Linked DNA regions of Drosophila melanogaster. The protein of the gene in region 2 interacts with the protein of the main gene of each other region in a pairwise test. Each region holds a gene or a part of one and is shown on either strand. Other genes may lie near its edges. The genes, in order: Gint3, Faf2, Membrin and CG4676.

Region 1 (5,483 bases), on a different chromosome or scaffold from region 2:
GCGCTGACCGCACAAAAGAGTGCGGGAAACTTCCAAAACAGGCGTAACATTTGCTCCGCTTATTAATGGCATTATTTATGACTTTTTGAGCCCCGAAACTAATGTGACTAAGCAACAATTAGGCATTTGTTAATGGAATTATGGTCAAAATGCAATTGGCCGCACTTTGTTATTGTTTGGTACAAACATATGATTCTAGACTTGCGTACTCACTAACATTTACATAGCACCAAATAGTTCAGCGATTCGTGCACTTTTCACAATTCCTCACAGCTCACAGTTTAAGCTCATAGTTAAATAATAATTCGTCAATTTCCACTTGCTAGCGTTGCAATTTTTGTTTATTTTTGCAATAAGTAAGACCGTTTGCAGGTAAGCTTAAAAGCCCACCTGAAATACCGCAGCCAAAAAGATACCAAACAGCTGTTTGACGCACAGTGGCTTGAAAGTATGTATTTAGTTAAGCAAATATATAAAAATAAGTTTTTAATATAAATAAATTTCAAGCGAACAAGTAGCAACAGCCAAATAACCAAATTAATTTAAAGAAATTTTCTTTTGTGTAAAGTGCGTTTATAATTGATTTTGAATAATAGATTTGAAAGTAATAAATAACAACAGCTCTGTTATAATATAAGGGACAAATACCGCTGAATATATGGGTTAAAGCACTTCTACATAGCCTGCACCAGCATTAGAAGGTCTTCCTTTAAGTAGTTTATATCCGTTTGCAAAGGAGCGGGTGTATCATTGGCGCTAAACAGCAGCAGAGTGTTCGGAATGAGTCTGAAATGAAGGAAATCATGTAGTGTTGTACCTAAAGAAAACATTATTGCATCACTCACTTGCAGTCATATAGTGTCTTTTCCAAGTCCTCATCGCCCAGTTTGCCATCGCTGTTGGACACCAAGCTAAAATCCAGGCTTTCGTCCGCCAGGCAAGATTGGACAAACTCGAACACATCGGATATTTTTTCGTACACATTGAAAGTGCCCTGAAAATGATTCGGCTTATTACATAAAATTACTTCAGATGACATCATCGCGGAATGGCTTACTTGTATAAAGAGTCCATTGGGAAATTTAACCCTGACTAAAGCGTATCGATACATGCGCAAATTGCGCTGCTCCTCGCGTTCCCGCATCGCCTTTGTCCGCAGCATCTGTGACTGGGCAATGGCCTCGGATCGCAGCTGTTGCTCTTTCTTGATCTCCTCCGGCGACAGGCGATAAAACTCGTCGGGGAGGGCGACACGACATGCCTGCGATGGAAGTAGGACCTTAATGTTGCGATCCAGCTCCAGGGGAATAATCTCCGAGCTCTTGAGAGCTTCCACTAGTGTGGGCAAGTCGAGATCCTTCTCCGTCTGCTCCTTGGTCCACAAAAGGAAGGGTTCGCCATCGATCTGGACCTCGTTGAAGCCCGCTGCTTGCAGAACATCCAGGGCACCCTCCACGTAGCGCACCTTTTCGCTGAAGATTTTGTTGGACATCCGTATCTTGCAGAACTTCTCCTCCTCGGGATTCTTGATAAGATTCTCCAGATATCGGATTAGCGTGGCAATGCACTCGTCGGCCTTCTCCTTAACATTGCAATTGTGGATGATCAGGCAGGCGGTGAGGCCGCGATCTGCCTCCAGCTGCTGGTAGAGGAACTCTTTGATGCGAACCTTCCACACGCTCTTGGGTAGAATCTCCTCGCTGATTAGGGGGCAGCGGAAGAAGACGCCTTCGCAGGCCAGGTTGCGAGTGTCGCCGCCGGAAGCCGATGTGGATGTGCTGGTCGTTGATGGCGTGCCCATGGCTTCCTCTCTCTGGCGACGCTCTGCCTCCAGCTCTCTTTTAGCCTGTGCCTTCACTGCCGACAGCGAGGTATTGAATTCCCTGGATGTTTTCTTGTCAATGCGCGCCAGTGCCGCACTGGCAGCTGCCCTGGCCTCGTTACTTATTTCATTTCGCTTTGGTGGCACATAGGCCTCATACTTTTGGCGGGAACTACTTGAAGGAGTCTCCTGTTTGGGGGAATTCAGCTTGTGGCCAGTGCCCATGCCGCTGCCAGTTAAATTGAGCTGTAAACGAACTTGGTAAGGGATTTCCAATGGCTTGGCTAAAGAAAGAACCCACCTTAAAGGCAGCCTCCGCCTTCTTCCGCGAAAAGAACTTCTTAATCTTGGACATGGTTTCTAGATGCGCGGCGAGTGTTCCTTGGGCAGCTTCAACTTGGCCACCGACAATTTAAGCTCCTCGATTTCCTTGAGCGTGCCTGAAATGCAAGACGTGGCCTTCGTTTAAGTAAACTTATCGTAACATCCTGATTTTAAGCATATTCCTACTTGGCCTGACAAACTTCTCCGTAATGACTTTGCCGTAAATGGACCACGAATAGCCGGCTAGTACGCAGGTGCCCAGAAGCAGCACGATAAGCACCTTCAGCAGTGTCGCCTGCAGATCGGTGAAGGCAATGGGTCCGTTTTCCCAACGAAAGTCACCGGTCAAAGATTCCAGATTTCCGCGCAGATCGACGGCTGCCGTCAGTGCAACGCCAGCAAATTGCTCCACTTGTCGCGCAATCGACTGCAACGTTGAATTGAACGATTCCACGTAGAAATTGAAACTCATTGCCTGATTGGTAAGTGCCAAAGATCGTATTTAATACGTTTTCAACGCAATCCTTTGTTTATATTCGCAGCATTATAATAATTTCGTCAACACTTTTTTCTTTGCTGGTGTGCCCGTTGCTGGTCTGTGTGTAAATACCTACGGGCTAGTAAAAATACCAAATGAAAATGCGTCAACAGCTTACTTATCGATAAAAGTATTTCGCTGCTCTCCAGTGCTGGTTAATTTCCAAATGCTTTGTTTTGGCGCCTGTTTTGAATTTAAATTGTAATTTTCGAATGGGGGGAACAATTATTTATGGATTTCCCTGAGGGTTCTGACCTCATTCGATTTGCCTTGATTTCTGCACCCGCATCCTGTAATTAATGTGTGCACCTGCTATTGACCTTATTCAGTTCCTGAAGAAGTGAATTGAACAATATTTATGGCGTTGTTATTAAGAATATTTTCCACATTTTTAATATAGGCTAAAATATTAAATTGTGTATTTAAATGATTATAAAATTTCAAAAAGTAGCTACCAACTATTAATTTTGCTAAAATATTTGTATATTTAATTCCAAATTTGCAACCTTGGATTCTTTCAAAATAATTTCGAAACCCACCGCTCTTTTTTCACCGTGTGCTTACATAATGATATTTTGTGGAGCACACGCCCATTTTTTATATGCAGGGCCAGCTGTCGTAATTGAATGATTTTCGATCGTTTCGCCAAGTGCTTTTGCTTCCTGTAATTTTCGGCGATTGGAGCCTGGGCATCTCTCTTCCTTTCGCATATTTTGCGATTGATTTTCGATGGCATCCTTGAGTATGTTTTTCGGCCAAGTAGGTAGCAGAGTGAGAGATTGGGGATGCCTATCTGGGGGCGGGGAGATCACGCTCCAGCGATGCGCTGCGGGTTCAACAGCCAGCCGAAAGTCGAGCGGAGGCCAAAGAAGAGAAATCTCTTGCAGCCTATGGCTTCCGTATGCGCCATGCCTCGCGCTCCACTGGCTACGTGGATGCGGAGATGGCCCCCATCTCGGTGTGTTGCTTCTCTCTTAGGTTTTAGGTTTTGTGGCTGCTTGGCTCGTCTCTGGCTTTCTGCAACTTCAATTACGCCAGCAGCCAACAACAGACACAAACAGTCTATTCTATTCCGCTCCGCCTTGCTTGGCTTTATTTATGCTGGCTCATTTTTCCGTGGCGACTGTTAGTTAGGCAAAATGTCGACGACTTATAATTCGAGCAGAGTGTAAGATTTTCTTCCATCGGCTTCGTTCTGCTCTGGTCCGTTGGTTTTCTGTTTCTATATCTGTATGTGTAATCTGGCTGTGGCTCTGTTTGCCATCGCAATCAGCAGTCTGCGCATTTGAGTCTCGAGTCCAAGGCGTGTCTGCAGCCCCATCTTCTGGCATGACAAGAGCACTGTGTCCCATGGCCATTATATCTATCACCATCACGCGATATGTTCTCACTTGCAACCGGGCTGCAACTAACCATCATTCAACGTCATTCCCAGCCATTCCCAATCCCATTCCATTCCAGCCACCATCGCATCGGTTGCAATTGCAGTTGCCTGTCCCCAACTCCTCATCATTGCAGTTTTTTTTTTGTTTTTTGTTTTGCGCAATTAAAATTCCACAAATGCCCGGATGGGAGGGACGGCTGGGGGGAGAGTTCTGCGCACCCAGAGCCATCGAAAGGAATGCAAGAGTGGCGCGCATGCGCCGTCGTCCGGCGTCATTCGCATTGCAATTGTTGTTATCAGCCGCCATGCGCCGAACCTGAAAAACTAGTTCCAATCGCCAGCTGAAGACGTCGAGTTGTGTGTGGCCAAGTCTGCGAAGGAGAGAGAAGAAAACTGGGCTCCCAGCAATGGAGGGGTATGCTGGAATACAGGAAAATATAAAGCTACCAAAAGAATAGATTCAATGATTTCATAACTATATAACCAATTATATTCACAGCTCGAATATGTCATATTTTGAAGTTCTTAAGTTAAATGTTGGAGTTTATATTGCGACGTAAGTATGCTGACTTTCTACTGATATGCAGTACTTGTATTATGAATGTATCTGAAAGATACTCCACCTGTCGATCAGTCTGACGCACCTGTACTCCTCTTGCACGAATTTCACGGTTGGGAAAGCCAGTAAAAGCAGCAACCATTTGGCCAATGCCTTGGCTTTTCTTTTGTTTTCACCCGTGGCCCAAAACTGGTTGTGCCAATTTATGGCCAACATAGCCGTGACTTTGTGCTCGCTGCGCGAAAGTCAAGGTAAGAGACACTGGACACAGCCAAGGGTTTCCTTTCCCACTGACGGTTGTTTTTTTTTTGTTTTAAAAATATTATTTATTTTCTTATCTCGCATTGATAGTGTCTTGATTGGGCGGCCAGCCGAGTCGGTGGAGTTGAAGGCGGGGAATCTGGCTCGCTCATTAAAATTTATGCACAGGAAACGGAAGCGCCGCAGACGACGAGCAGACACACAAAGTCGCTGCTTCTCTAGGCCTCCTGATGATGATGATGGTCCTCCTTGGTGGCTCCGTGCCTCATGCCAAACACCACTCCCCACTGCCCATCCCTTTGTGGCACAATCTTTGGCTACGCAAGCGGCGTGACAAACAGGCAGAAAGTGTCACTCAAATTGGCCGCAAAATTGAAAGTGATGACACGCCCACACAGTCACGTTGCCTTGCATAAGCAAGCAATTGGATGGGAAGTGCAGGAGACGCGGAGTTTACAGGCTACACAGGGAGAAAAACATCTTCATTGCTCATATATATGAAAAAATCAATGATAAAATGTATTATCGATATAATTTAATTAACCATATAATTTGGCTCAATCATTACTTATATTTCCTCCATGTGCAAAGCGCT
Region 2 (5,071 bases):
CCTGTGCTGCTGGCCACGGAAATGTTGGCAGACTGCTCCTCGCAGAGCTCGTCCGTCTCGGCAATCTTCATCAGCTTTCCGTCTCCGGAAATGTTGCTCCGATCCTTCAGTGGGCCGCTTAAGGTCTCTGCAAGTAATAAGCTTATTATAACTAAAAAATAATAATCTCTACAGTAACTTGCGTTGCAGTGACTCCGTGGTGGAGCTGTTGACGGAGTTATCCACCGAGCTTGGGCCAGACGCCACTGGAGGACAAAGACTTTGACGATTGGCAGTTTCATAAGGTTGCGGTTTTCGGTTGAGCGTCTCCCAGTCAAAACTATCTCTGTAAGAGGCGCCCAAGCGGGTCGACATGCGATCCACAGCTCTTGGACCTTGGGCATCCAGGAACTCGCAAAAGGAATCCCGGCGAACTATGGTAGGTGTTGACACCCCGTAACCAAGACTGGTCAGCTGGTTTTGGGTGCTCAACAAATTAGCGGCAATCGATTTACGCAACTCATCGCTGGGCGCACGCTCTACACGAGGAGCTTCGGTCGCCAAACCAGTTGCATTTTCGGAGCTGTTGAGGCTACCGTTCTGCTGGTTATCCCCACTTGGCACGGGCACAAAGGCTACACGTGTTACAGCCGCATCATGTACACTCCTCACGGCCAACGGAGCCTTTGTACTCCTCATATCATAGGCTATTAATTCGCCCTTAAGGTTTCCAGCACAAAGATAAGTGCCACATTCACTCAGCGCCACCGTCGATAGTGGATGCGAGTAGGTCAAGCGATCCGTAGAGGCCTGAGCACGATTTCGTCGAATGTCGAAGATATTTATCTTGCAATCGTAGCCCACGCTGACCAGCAGTGCCGGTTGGGATGTGCACATACTGATGTCCCGGCAGGGAGCACTGTGGGCTTCGCTGGCATGAAAAATCTTTCGCATTCCCTGCACATCATAGACAGTCACGGCTCCTTTATAGGAAGCGATCGACAGATGAAAGCGTTTGCTCGGATGAAAGCGCACAAGAGTAGAGCTGATATTAACAGGATAGCGAAAGATCAATGCAATCCTTTAACAAGCAAGCCTTTAACTTACTCGCCATCTATGGTGAAGGTGTTGGTCTTCTGTTTGGTCTTGGTACCCAAGATACTGATGTCCCCGCCATCGCGCACGGCGGCTATATACTCGTCCGTGTTGTTGTAGTCCATGTAGAGGACAGTACTCCTTTGCGGGTCCGCCGGAAAACGATGGATGAGCTGTGCCGTCCGAAAGTTGTATAGCTTAACACAACCGCTCTGACCCACAGCGATCTCTTCCAGGGATTGCTTGGCGCACGCCACACAGAAGGCATTGTCGATGGTGAGCTTACGGACTCGTTGAATCTCGGGCGCTGTGAAATGGGAAGTTAATTACATACGTGGGATTTGGGGATCCGCACCTCTCTCTTACTCTTGCCATCCTTCTCCTTTATTCGCATCACGGCCAAGCCCGCCATTTTATCCACCTCCACGAAGACCCGGCGTTGGCCGTTGAACTGAAAGTCCGTGGGCTCTGCGTTCTGGTGCACATACTCAGACTTTGTCTCCAGATCCGCGAAGTCGGAGAGCACGGTTTTTTTAGACGTGGAAATAACATGCATTTTGATTTATTTCTTCAGATATTTACACAATTCAAATTTGAGTGCTTTTGTTCGGACTGATTTAAGAATGTGCCCGCTGCTTTATTACCTGAAAATTCCAAAGCTCGTCCGTCGATTTTCCAAGTGATGTTAGACAAATATGCTGATTCCACTACACATTGTCCTTATCTAACACCTTTGAATTATATATCAATATTGCTTTTAATCTTTTTCTGTGTTTTACCACGCCAGGCATAGAGATCAAATAAATAATAAAAATAATTTTTTAAAAAGCGAACACAAATTGTTTGTTTGCCGCTGGATTTCGCAGTGAGAACGCGTCGGCCTGCGCGGTCACACTAGTCATTCACAACCAAATTCATCGGATCATTGGCAGAAAGGCAAGAAGAAGAGCAAGCAATCACCTGCGAAAAAGAAATAAATTGCCGAGAAATGTTAAAGACGTTGTAGTGCGGCAATTTGGCGTGCGTTGAAATGACTCCTGGCGACCAGTAGAAGCATTTAGTGACCACGCTACTCATCCCCCGTCCCCCGCCGCAGCGGCTGAGCCACTGGACAAAGGCCAGCTTACAACAAAAACAACACCAGGGAGACAGTCACGGGCCATTGGCACCCACACAAGCACACACACGCACGCACTGCGTAAAAGCAAACAACAACGATAACAACTGGGAACGGAGGCCTTCAACTGCAGGAAAGATGGAAGCTGATGGACTGACCAACGAACAGACGGAGAAGGTCCTCCAGTTCCAGGATCTCACCGGCATCGAGGATATGAACGTCTGCCGCGACGTCCTAATCAGACACCAATGGGATCTCGAGGTATGCATATGTTTATATGCCCACACAGTGAATGTCAAAATAACAGGGTCACGTAGTCTTGCAGTCTTGCATACAGTGGTGGCTGCAAGAATACTACTACCAACAAGTTTTGTACATATATATTATCTGACGACTAAAGATAGTAATCATTTTATTCTAAATTCTTTTTAAATTTGTTTTTTACAATTTTGCGTTGGGCGCCCTGCTATACTAAATACCAGCTTATTTACCCTTTTTCATATCTACATATGCAGGTGGCCTTCCAGGAGCAGCTAAATATCCGCGAGGGGCGTCCGACCATGTTCGCCGCCTCTACAGATGTCCGAGCGCCCGCTGTCCTTAACGATCGCTTCCTGCAGCAGGTGTTTTCCGCCAACATGCCTGGCGGAAGGACGGTTAGCCGGGTGCCCAGTGGCCCCGTTCCCCGCAGCTTCACCGGCATCATTGGATATGTGATTAACTTCGTGTTTCAGTACTTCTACTCCACGCTGACGAGCATCGTCAGTGCGTTTGTGAACCTGGGCGGAGGAAACGAAGCCCGCTTGGTGACAGATCCACTGGGGGATGTGATGAAGTTTATTAGGGAATACTACGAAAGGTATCCCGAGCACCCGGTCTTCTATCAGGGCACATATGCCCAGGCCCTTAACGATGCTAAGCAGGAGCTGCGTTTTCTAATCGTTTACCTGCACAAGGATCCCGCCAAGAACCCAGATGTGGAATCCTTCTGCCGCAACACACTGTCGGCGAGATCGGTCATTGACTACATTAACACACACACCCTGTTATGGGGATGCGACGTAGCCACGCCGGAGGGCTACCGGGTGATGCAGTCGATAACGGTGCGCAGCTACCCAACGATGGTGATGATCAGCCTTCGAGCAAATCGCATGATGATCGTCGGACGTTTCGAGGGGGATTGCACGCCCGAAGAGCTGCTCCGTCGCCTCCAGTCGGTGACGAACGCCAACGAGGTGTGGCTGAGTCAAGCGCGTGCAGATCGCTTAGAGCGGAATTTTACACAGACTTTAAGAAGACAGCAGGACGAGGCATACGAGCAGAGTTTGCTTGCGGACGAGGAGAAGGAGCGTCAGCGGCAAAGGGAGCGGGATGCCGTCCGGCAGGCGGAGGAGGCTGTGGAACAAGCTCGACGCGATGTCGAGCTTCGCAAGGAGGAGATTGCCCGGCAAAAGATCGAGCTGGCCACATTGGTGCCATCCGAGCCGGCAGCGGATGCTGTCGGCGCCATTGCAGTTGTATTCAAGCTGCCCAGTGGAACACGCCTAGAGCGCCGATTTAACCAGACGGATTCGGTGCTTGTAAGTTACACAAATTTAAACTGCTAATTTGGGATTGATGATTTGATGTTATTGCAGGACGTTTATCACTATCTCTTCTGCCATCCCGATTCGCCGGATGAGTTCGAGATCACAACGAATTTCCCGAAGCGCGTGCTCTTCTCGAAAGCGAACTTGGATGCCGCTGGGGAAACAGGCACAGCCAAGGAGACGCTGACCAAAACCCTTCAGGCCGTAGGACTCAAGAACCGCGAGGTGCTGTTCGTTAACGATCTGGAAGCGTAACCAAGCACCACCTACCAAATGAAAGCATCATCGTGTTACCAGCAGCAACGCATTACCAAAACTTGAACCAAGTTTTAAGTAGTCGTAGTCAACGTCCAAGTCGGAGGATAAATAGAGAAACTATTCCTAATTTAATCATGAACATTAATATTAATAATTGTTTAACAATGTTTAGGTTGATTCTCTGATCTGCCCAACACCATCAACCAACCCGTTTCTCAAACATTCACACATCAGTAAAAATCGTTTCCAGAATAATTTCCGTGAACCACAATTTAGTTCTTTTTATTTAAGATGCGTTGTTATGTTAGCTGTACTTATACTTCCGTCTATTTAACGAATAATAGAGGCACATTCTTGTTATTTGACAGAGAGCTTGAATTCAATTTGAATTTGAGTTTAGATTGAAGATATAAATAATCATTTAAAGTGAGAACGTTCAAATACACAAGTTCGGGACAGTTGATCATAAAAAATATAGTTATACAGATATTACTTTAAAACACCAAACAAGTGCTTTTCTAAAATATGGGCTTCTCGTAAGTTTACTGAATATCAAAGGAAAAACCAAATTTAAGTTCAAAATATATTTTTGAATTTTTGGTGTGGCAACGCCATTTGTACCTATCGATAGCTCATGGTGATGGGCTATTGCGACTCACGTACTTATGGCCTAAAATTTAATTTATTATTCAAGTAATATTTTAATTGATGAAATGTCAATTGATTTGACAATTTAATTGCTAGCGACTGATTAAAAAAGGTAAAGTTAAAAAGTGCGTCGAGTGCCCTCACGGCAGCAGTCACGAGTCCACCTCCAGAATCCTATAGTCATTGCTTGTTAGTCAGCACGAAAGTCACGACGGAGTCGTGTGAAAATCTGAATATACGCTGGAATTCCGAGGATTGGAGGATAATAGTGAGCAAGAGGACAATAACGACTGGTTCACCGACGACGAGAGAACGCGTCTGCTGCCCGGGAAAAGGGGAAAATCAGCAACCACTGGCTTGCGGCTGAAAATTCGGCAGTTGACTT
Region 3 (3,155 bases), on a different chromosome or scaffold from region 2:
AGTTGCATCAGCGGTGCTAATGAAATGCAAATATTATCAAATTCCATCGCACTGAAGAGATAAACTGCCTTCAAAGATACAAGGTGCTATCCAAACTGAATGGTCTGCGCAATCTAAGCGATAAGATGTCAATAATCCTACAGAATTGCCTAATAAACCGGGCTTATCTGGTGACGTAGCGAGGAAAGTCCAATCGATATGGAAACTTACTCTAGGCGGACCGATGATCATGCCGATCCAGTAGGTGAGCGTCATGTCGTCGTCGTTCTCCAGGCCCCACGATATGGTGCCATCGCCCACGCCCTTCTGGCCCTGATCCAGCTCCTCCAGTAAGCGGAAATTCCGTGGCACCACTGCAATGTGAAACGGCAAAGAGGTGAGAACTCGATGACATAATGCATTTTCACTGAAAAACTTAAATCTTTAAATATAGTCATTAAGTTAAATGTCAGCTTGTTTTTAATTTTCTGGTTGGCGGGGCAAGAAAGTACTTAGCTTTCTAAATAATTATAATCACGGGCTCGTACAGATAAGATACATATATATAATTATAAACGACAGTTTTATCTATTTAGAAACAAACTAGTAAGGACTGTTCTACACATTTTCTATGGTATAAACCATTTTCGGTGATATTTCGGCGACTTTTCCTCTCAGTGTGGGGTCATATGGGTACGTGTTGTTGTTGTTTTGCGCTCTGCTTCTCGTGTTGTTTTTGTTTTCGGCCGTGTGACTTTGTACGCATTTTCGTGCAGAGAACACAAGTCAAAAAAAAAAAATGCGAAGCGCAGATATTAAGCACGATGGGCGCGGGGGGAGGGTGTGTCGGCGGGGGCGGGGCGAAAGCATAATTTCTGCATTTGCAAAAACAATCCAGGCAAATGTAAATGGCAGCTAATTTAATTAGAAAAGACAAGGCAGCTTGCAAAAACGCAAGTGTGCAAAAAATAAGGAAAATAAAGAAAAAACTTTAAGTATGAAGGCAAGAAGAAGAGCGTGCGCGAGCGAGCGAGCGAGAGCCACATAGTGAGGAAGGAGCGGGGATGATATTTCGGAAAATGTCAAGTCACGAAGCCCAATTGCAACGGAGTTTTTCCAACGCCAAACGCGGCCAAGGAAAATTGCAAGAGCAGCGTGGTCCGCTGGCGAAAATAAATTTCCATTCGCCCATTTCGCTTTTATCGGCTTTCGTCTTTCGCCCTTGCTTTCGTCTTCTTTTTGCCCGTTTTGCACCACACACACAATCACATTGCGGTCCGCTTGTCGGGTCCGTAGCGGCGGAAAAATCGCCGCCGGTCAGCGGGAAATGCAGAAAACGGATGGCCAACAACTCCGGGCGTGCGGGGATCGCATTTTTAAGCTGCCAAATTGCTAATTTATCAATTTTATTTCTTACCAACGCCGGTACTTGATGTATTCGCCATTGTGGTTAATGCTAAGTGCTAAAATACCGTAAAAGTGTGCTAACGCGTTTCCAGTGCGATGTGACCAGTGCGGTTTAGGTTTTGCTTGGCTTGCTTAACAACTCTGATTTTTACACCGTTAACAGTGGTAACACTTAACAGCGCCGTCAAGTGCAATATTTGGTCACTAATTAAAAATCATTATTTAACAATATATAGCATATTCTCTGAAAATAAAAAGGAAATTTAATAGTTGCATTAGCTGATAAGTTTGTCATAATATATGGTCATACCAAAAACGGCAGCCAGCTGCTCTGCTATCAGTGCTGTTAACTAACATGACACTCTGTCCAATGTTAACGCGTCAGCTTTTTTAAAAACAAACCAATTGCAACCGATTAAATATTAATTTGCGAATATTCTCGGGCCCATAAATTAATGCGGAATCAATAGGTGTAACGACATGGAGAGCTTGTACCACCAAACCAACAATGTGGTAAAGGACATCGAGCGCGATTTCCAGCGACTGAGTCAGCTCAGTGCCCAGGAATCGCTTGACGTGGAAAACGGCATTCAATTGAAGATTACCCAGGCGAACGCGTGAGTTCTACAATGATATATATTATCCCAAGAGGAGTTTGTATTATTAAATAAATCTTTTGTGTTTAGAAACTGCGATCGGTTGGATGTGCTGTTGTATAAGGTGCCACCTTCGCAGCGACAAAGCTCCAAACTTCGTGTGGATCAGCTGAAATATGACCTGAGACACCTGCAGACATCACTGCAGACGGCGCGGGAACGAAGACAGCGACGGATGCAGGAGATCTCCGAGAGGGAACAGCTGCTGAATCACAGATTCACGGCAAACAGCGCGCAGCCGGAGGAAACGCGCCTGCAATTGGACTACGAACTGCAGCATCATACGCAGCTGGGTAACGCCCATCGGGGTGTGGACGACATGATTGCCTCGGGCAGCGGCATTCTCGAGAGCCTGATCTCGCAGAGAATGACGCTGGGCGGAGCGCACAAGAGAATCCAGGCGATAGGCAGCACACTGGGTCTGTCCAATCACACGATGAAACTTATTGAACGCCGGCTGGTCGAGGATCGTCGGATATTCATCGGAGGAGTGGTGGTCACCTTGCTTATCATCGCCCTGATCATCTATTTCCTAGTGCTCTAATCTGAAGACATCGCGTTTAGTTGAGTTTAAATTAAATGTACTCTATTTTGTAAAATGTTAAATTAACAATTGATCAATTGTGGATTAATCCTCGGCCTCCAGTGAGATATTGCTGCCGAACCGCTGGTACAGATGAGCCTTCAGCTCGTCCATTTCCGCCTTGATAACCTTCGCCTTGGCCTCCACGCCGGCGATCTCCTTGAGCACCTGCTCCTTGGTCTCCTTCAGCATGTCCTGTGTTTTCTCCAGCTTGTGCGAGAGGAACACCTCGCCAACCAGGAACGGTATGTCCTCGTCCTCGTCGAACAGCTCAATCTCCTCCAGCGCCTCCTCCAAGCTCTTCAGCTCATTGCGCTTCGTTTCCAGCTCCGCTTTGAAGTCATCCATGCGGGCGTTGTGCTTCGCAAAGCGGTTGATCCGCTGCTGATCCTCGAAGGAGATGTGCACGTCATCGTGCTGAAAATGCGATTTAAAATATATATCATAAATTTCAATTGAGCAGATGCACAGAAAAAACCATGACAAAGTGAGGTTACTTTTCATCTTAGTCAGCTGTCCTTTGATGATTC
Region 4 (3,313 bases), on a different chromosome or scaffold from region 2:
TCGACGCCTAGAGTGGTGTTCTCCGGTTCGTGAACCACTGCCACGTACTCCGTGGCGCTGCTGAGACCTTCGAACAAACTGCTGGCTGAATCGTTCTCCGTTAAGTAGTGAAAGTTTGGCCAGTAGGAATTGTTGTGGCTGCTGGTCAGGTTCTCTGCGGCCACCATACCCGCTAGTATTTCGCGGATTTCGTTTTTATCCTGCGTATGCAGGCTCTGCCCGTAATGCTGAGGACCCGGCTGGAAACCGGGGCCCAGATAACGTAGCGTTGGATAGCCCATCACCTCGTAGTTGCGGCAGATGCCATTGTTCTCCTCGGCGGCGCAATCGATGGCCGCCACGATGAGCACCTCGGACCAGGGCAACAGGTGCTCCGCTACCGACTTGTACGTGGGTGCGAATCTGCGACAGTGGCCGCAGTAAGTGTTGTAGAACTCGACTAATGCTCCGCGATTCTGGTCCAGGACGGTAGCATTGAAGTTGTCGACCGACAGGCGGATAACCTTATCCCCGTCGTCGTAGAGACCCAGTGTGGGATCCGATGGAGGGGACTGCTGCTTGAGGAGCGCCTCGTATCGCGGAAGGGGAACGCCCGCGGATGCGATGTCCACCAGCAGAGCGACGGCCAGAATCACCAGGTGCGTCGCCGACATTTTGCGGATCTACCCAATTTGCGGGATCGGTTGCGGCTGCGATTCGTACGGAATGCGATGTGGAACGCGACTGCTCTGCTGCGATAAGATTTAACTTCACCGAAGCATTTGGAATGTTTTACGGTCGCAAGTGGTTTGATTAACTGCTGCCAGGGATGCCAAATCGTCTGCTTTCTAGCTACGATTCTTCAGCTATTTTCAAAACTCGCGAAGCGAAACGATGTTAAACGTTTTTCGTGCCATATAATTTGTGCATTTTTAAATTACTTTGCCTATTAATTTGTTTTATTGTCAGTAAAAGTCATTTGGTATATATGTATAAACTACTAGCTACACGAATTCATTTTTACTGCGAACTAGTTCGCTCCCAAAATTTTAAAACCTAAAAAAGAAAAAAATTATTAAAGTAATATAAAAAGAACAGTGCACCTAGGCTAGGCAATGTTTTATACCTGCTTGCACTCTACATCAAGGAAATGATTATTTTTCACAATTTAAAACTTTACATTGTTTAGTTAAACATATTCTTTTATTTTATTGTCTCGTTCGTCATATGGTTTTCGATAATCCGCAAAAAAAAACCCCAACCTATTATGCACACGTATATATTAATTGAATCGCCTTTAAAAGTTCCAAGAAAAAAAACAAAGCAAAGTTTCATCGAAGCGCTATGCCTTATCAATTTTGTATGGTTTTTGTTTTTGTAATTTCACAGTAGAAATCCCCATTATAAAGTCGTTCTTTAATTTCAAATAAAATTTTATTTTTAATTTCAAGTTTTTATGTAATAATATAAAGCAAACTTAAGAACTTAAGCTTATAACATTTGTATTCCTTTAATATACCATCGTTTATGACATTTGATTTATTCGTATTAAGTTACTTATTATTACCTTATATATTTATATTTCTTTAAATTAAATCATTTGTGTTCTTTAAAAACCGGATTGCTTCTGTTAAATTCAATCTTATTTAACATTTTACGGGTTTCCTAACGTAAAGAGTTGTGTTCTAACCGTTTCACCATACTCGACTTAACAGTCTTACCGTTAGCAGCAGAGCCAAAAATCGCTTTGCAGCACTGTCTCAGTTGGGGGGTACAAAAAATAACGGGAGCATGATGATTTTGCGCTCGTGGGATCGCGTTAAACCTCGTTCCATTTCGGATTTCGCATGTTTCCTCCTGGTGGCTGTCTTTGTGCCCGTGACATACATCTTCCATGTGACCATTGTTATGCCGGAACTGTTTGCCATCGGAGGGATTTGGTACACGTTATTATGGTTGGCCAGCCTGTTCCTCATCTTCAACATCACATCCAACATGCTGGCCTGCATGCTTGTGGACACTAGTATCCGCAGTGGGTAGCAAGCAGTGATTTTGTGGTATCCCTTCTAAGATTGTCTTTATAGAGGAGCTGCTGAAGCCACCGTTGGATGCGGCGCAGCTGGCACGGTGGCACTCTTGCCAGGATTGTCAGACATTGGTGCCACCTCGATCCTGGCACTGCGAAGTGTGCAACGTGTGCGTGCTGAAGCGGGACCACCACTGTCGGTTCACTTGCTGCTGCATCGGGCATCACAACTACAGGTACTTCTTCTACTACCTGGTTTACATGATCATCGGATCCTTGGCGGCCGCCATCATGGAGAGCATCTATCTGTGGCATCTCCATCTGGACATCTACTGGCGCTGGTCTACGCTGTTCACCATATTTGCTCCCGTGGTTAGCCTGATGCTGTCTCCAAGCTGGGAGTCCTTCTACTTGGTCATATATGATCTCACCCTTCTGGGCTTCGCCATATCATCCTTGCTCCTTGTCTTCCACTGGTCGATATTCAAGAGCGGTTCGGTGACACGAGAGCGCGGCACAAGAAAGTACGATCGCGGTTTGCGGGGTAACCTGGAGATGGTTCTGGGCAAGAGAATGCATCTCACCTGGCTGTCGCCGTTTCTACGCAGCGATCTGCCACACGACGGAATGAACTGGGAACCCATAGCCGCCTTTTCTCCAAAGGAGGAATAGATCTGAATTGTGTCTTACCCATTCTTGACATTCATTAGAGGCATTTACTTATATCTACTTCATAACAAAATCAGTATTGTTTATTTTAAGACTCACTAGTCAACATCTGAATTGGAAATAGTATCCAAATTTATACGTCTTACTATTCTCTACTTGACCAATGGAAATTAATTTTTAATGTTTACAAGTCACACATTTGATCAGCTTACAAGTTAAAATAGTACAAAGCCTTTTATTAACATAAAGCTTTACAAAATATTTAGAATACTGTGTATTCATTCAGTAATGTCTATTATATGTATTAAATTAATCTGTTTAATGAAACCAAACAAGTATTTATTAAATGGTTATTTATTTAACAGCGTTCATTATATAATTTACAAAAGACTCTACTACTTATCGAGGAAACTTTCGCCTACGAGCGATTTCAGCTTAGACAGGTGTGTTTCATTTAGGGTAAATCCTTCATGAATACGTTTGGCTAACTCCCTGGAATCAAAGTTGTTCTCAACGGCATATTGCAGGGCAAACAGCGCCTGGCTGGGTGACTTCTCCTGCACACTTGCGTCCACAAATTCTATCAGAGCATTTAGGCTTGGTGTTCCGGGAATTCTGTGCTGGTTCTTGTCAATGTGG

The links.
Region 1: the proteins of Faf2 (region 2) and Gint3 interact in a two-hybrid assay, tested with the Drosophila melanogaster proteins (one large-scale study listed by BioGRID).
Region 3: the proteins of Faf2 (region 2) and Membrin interact in a two-hybrid assay, tested with the Drosophila melanogaster proteins (one large-scale study listed by BioGRID).
Region 4: the proteins of Faf2 (region 2) and CG4676 interact in a two-hybrid assay, tested with the Drosophila melanogaster proteins (one large-scale study listed by BioGRID).

What each region holds. Positions count from the first base shown.
Region 1 is NT_033778.4:18,657,863-18,663,345, forward strand, and holds Gint3 (GDI interacting protein 3), read right to left. Parts: upstream 3,687-5,483; 5' UTR 3,249-3,686; intron 2,911-3,248; exon of another isoform or gene 2,803-2,910; intron 2,764-2,802; 5' UTR 2,619-2,763; coding exon of another isoform or gene 2,333-2,618; intron 2,263-2,332; coding exon of another isoform or gene 2,183-2,262; 5' UTR 2,178-2,182; coding exon 2,124-2,177; intron 2,069-2,123; coding exon 1,058-2,068; intron 995-1,057; coding exon 846-994; intron 787-845; coding exon 675-786; 3' UTR 556-674; downstream 1-555. Other genes in the region: CG42306 (uncharacterized protein), read right to left, coding at 2,183-2,262, 2,333-2,618.
Region 2 is NT_033779.5:18,705,497-18,710,567, reverse strand, and holds Faf2 (Fas-associated factor 2), read left to right. Parts: upstream 1-1,968; 5' UTR 1,969-2,329; coding exon 2,330-2,452; intron 2,453-2,706; coding exon 2,707-3,771; intron 3,772-3,828; coding exon 3,829-4,035; 3' UTR 4,036-4,558; downstream 4,559-5,071. Other genes in the region: Grip71, read right to left, coding at 1-127, 183-1,024, 1,087-1,381, 1,441-1,630.
Region 3 is NT_037436.4:5,364,733-5,367,887, forward strand, and holds Membrin (membrin), read left to right. Parts: upstream 1-1,722; 5' UTR 1,723-1,866; coding exon 1,867-2,003; intron 2,004-2,072; coding exon 2,073-2,586; 3' UTR 2,587-2,649; downstream 2,650-3,155. Other genes in the region: Uev1A (Ubiquitin-conjugating enzyme variant 1A), read right to left, coding at 211-353, 1,397-1,424; Pfdn4 (prefoldin 4), read right to left, coding at 2,671-3,042. UniProt on the Drosophila melanogaster protein: Involved in transport of proteins from the cis/medial-Golgi to the trans-Golgi network.
Region 4 is NT_033778.4:13,234,245-13,237,557, forward strand, and holds CG4676 (uncharacterized protein), read left to right. Parts: upstream 1-1,735; 5' UTR 1,736-1,770; coding exon 1,771-2,011; intron 2,012-2,063; coding exon 2,064-2,677; 3' UTR 2,678-2,811; downstream 2,812-3,313. Other genes in the region: Qsox1 (quiescin sulfhydryl oxidase 1), read right to left, coding at 1-653; CG4679 (uncharacterized protein), read right to left, coding at 3,070-3,313.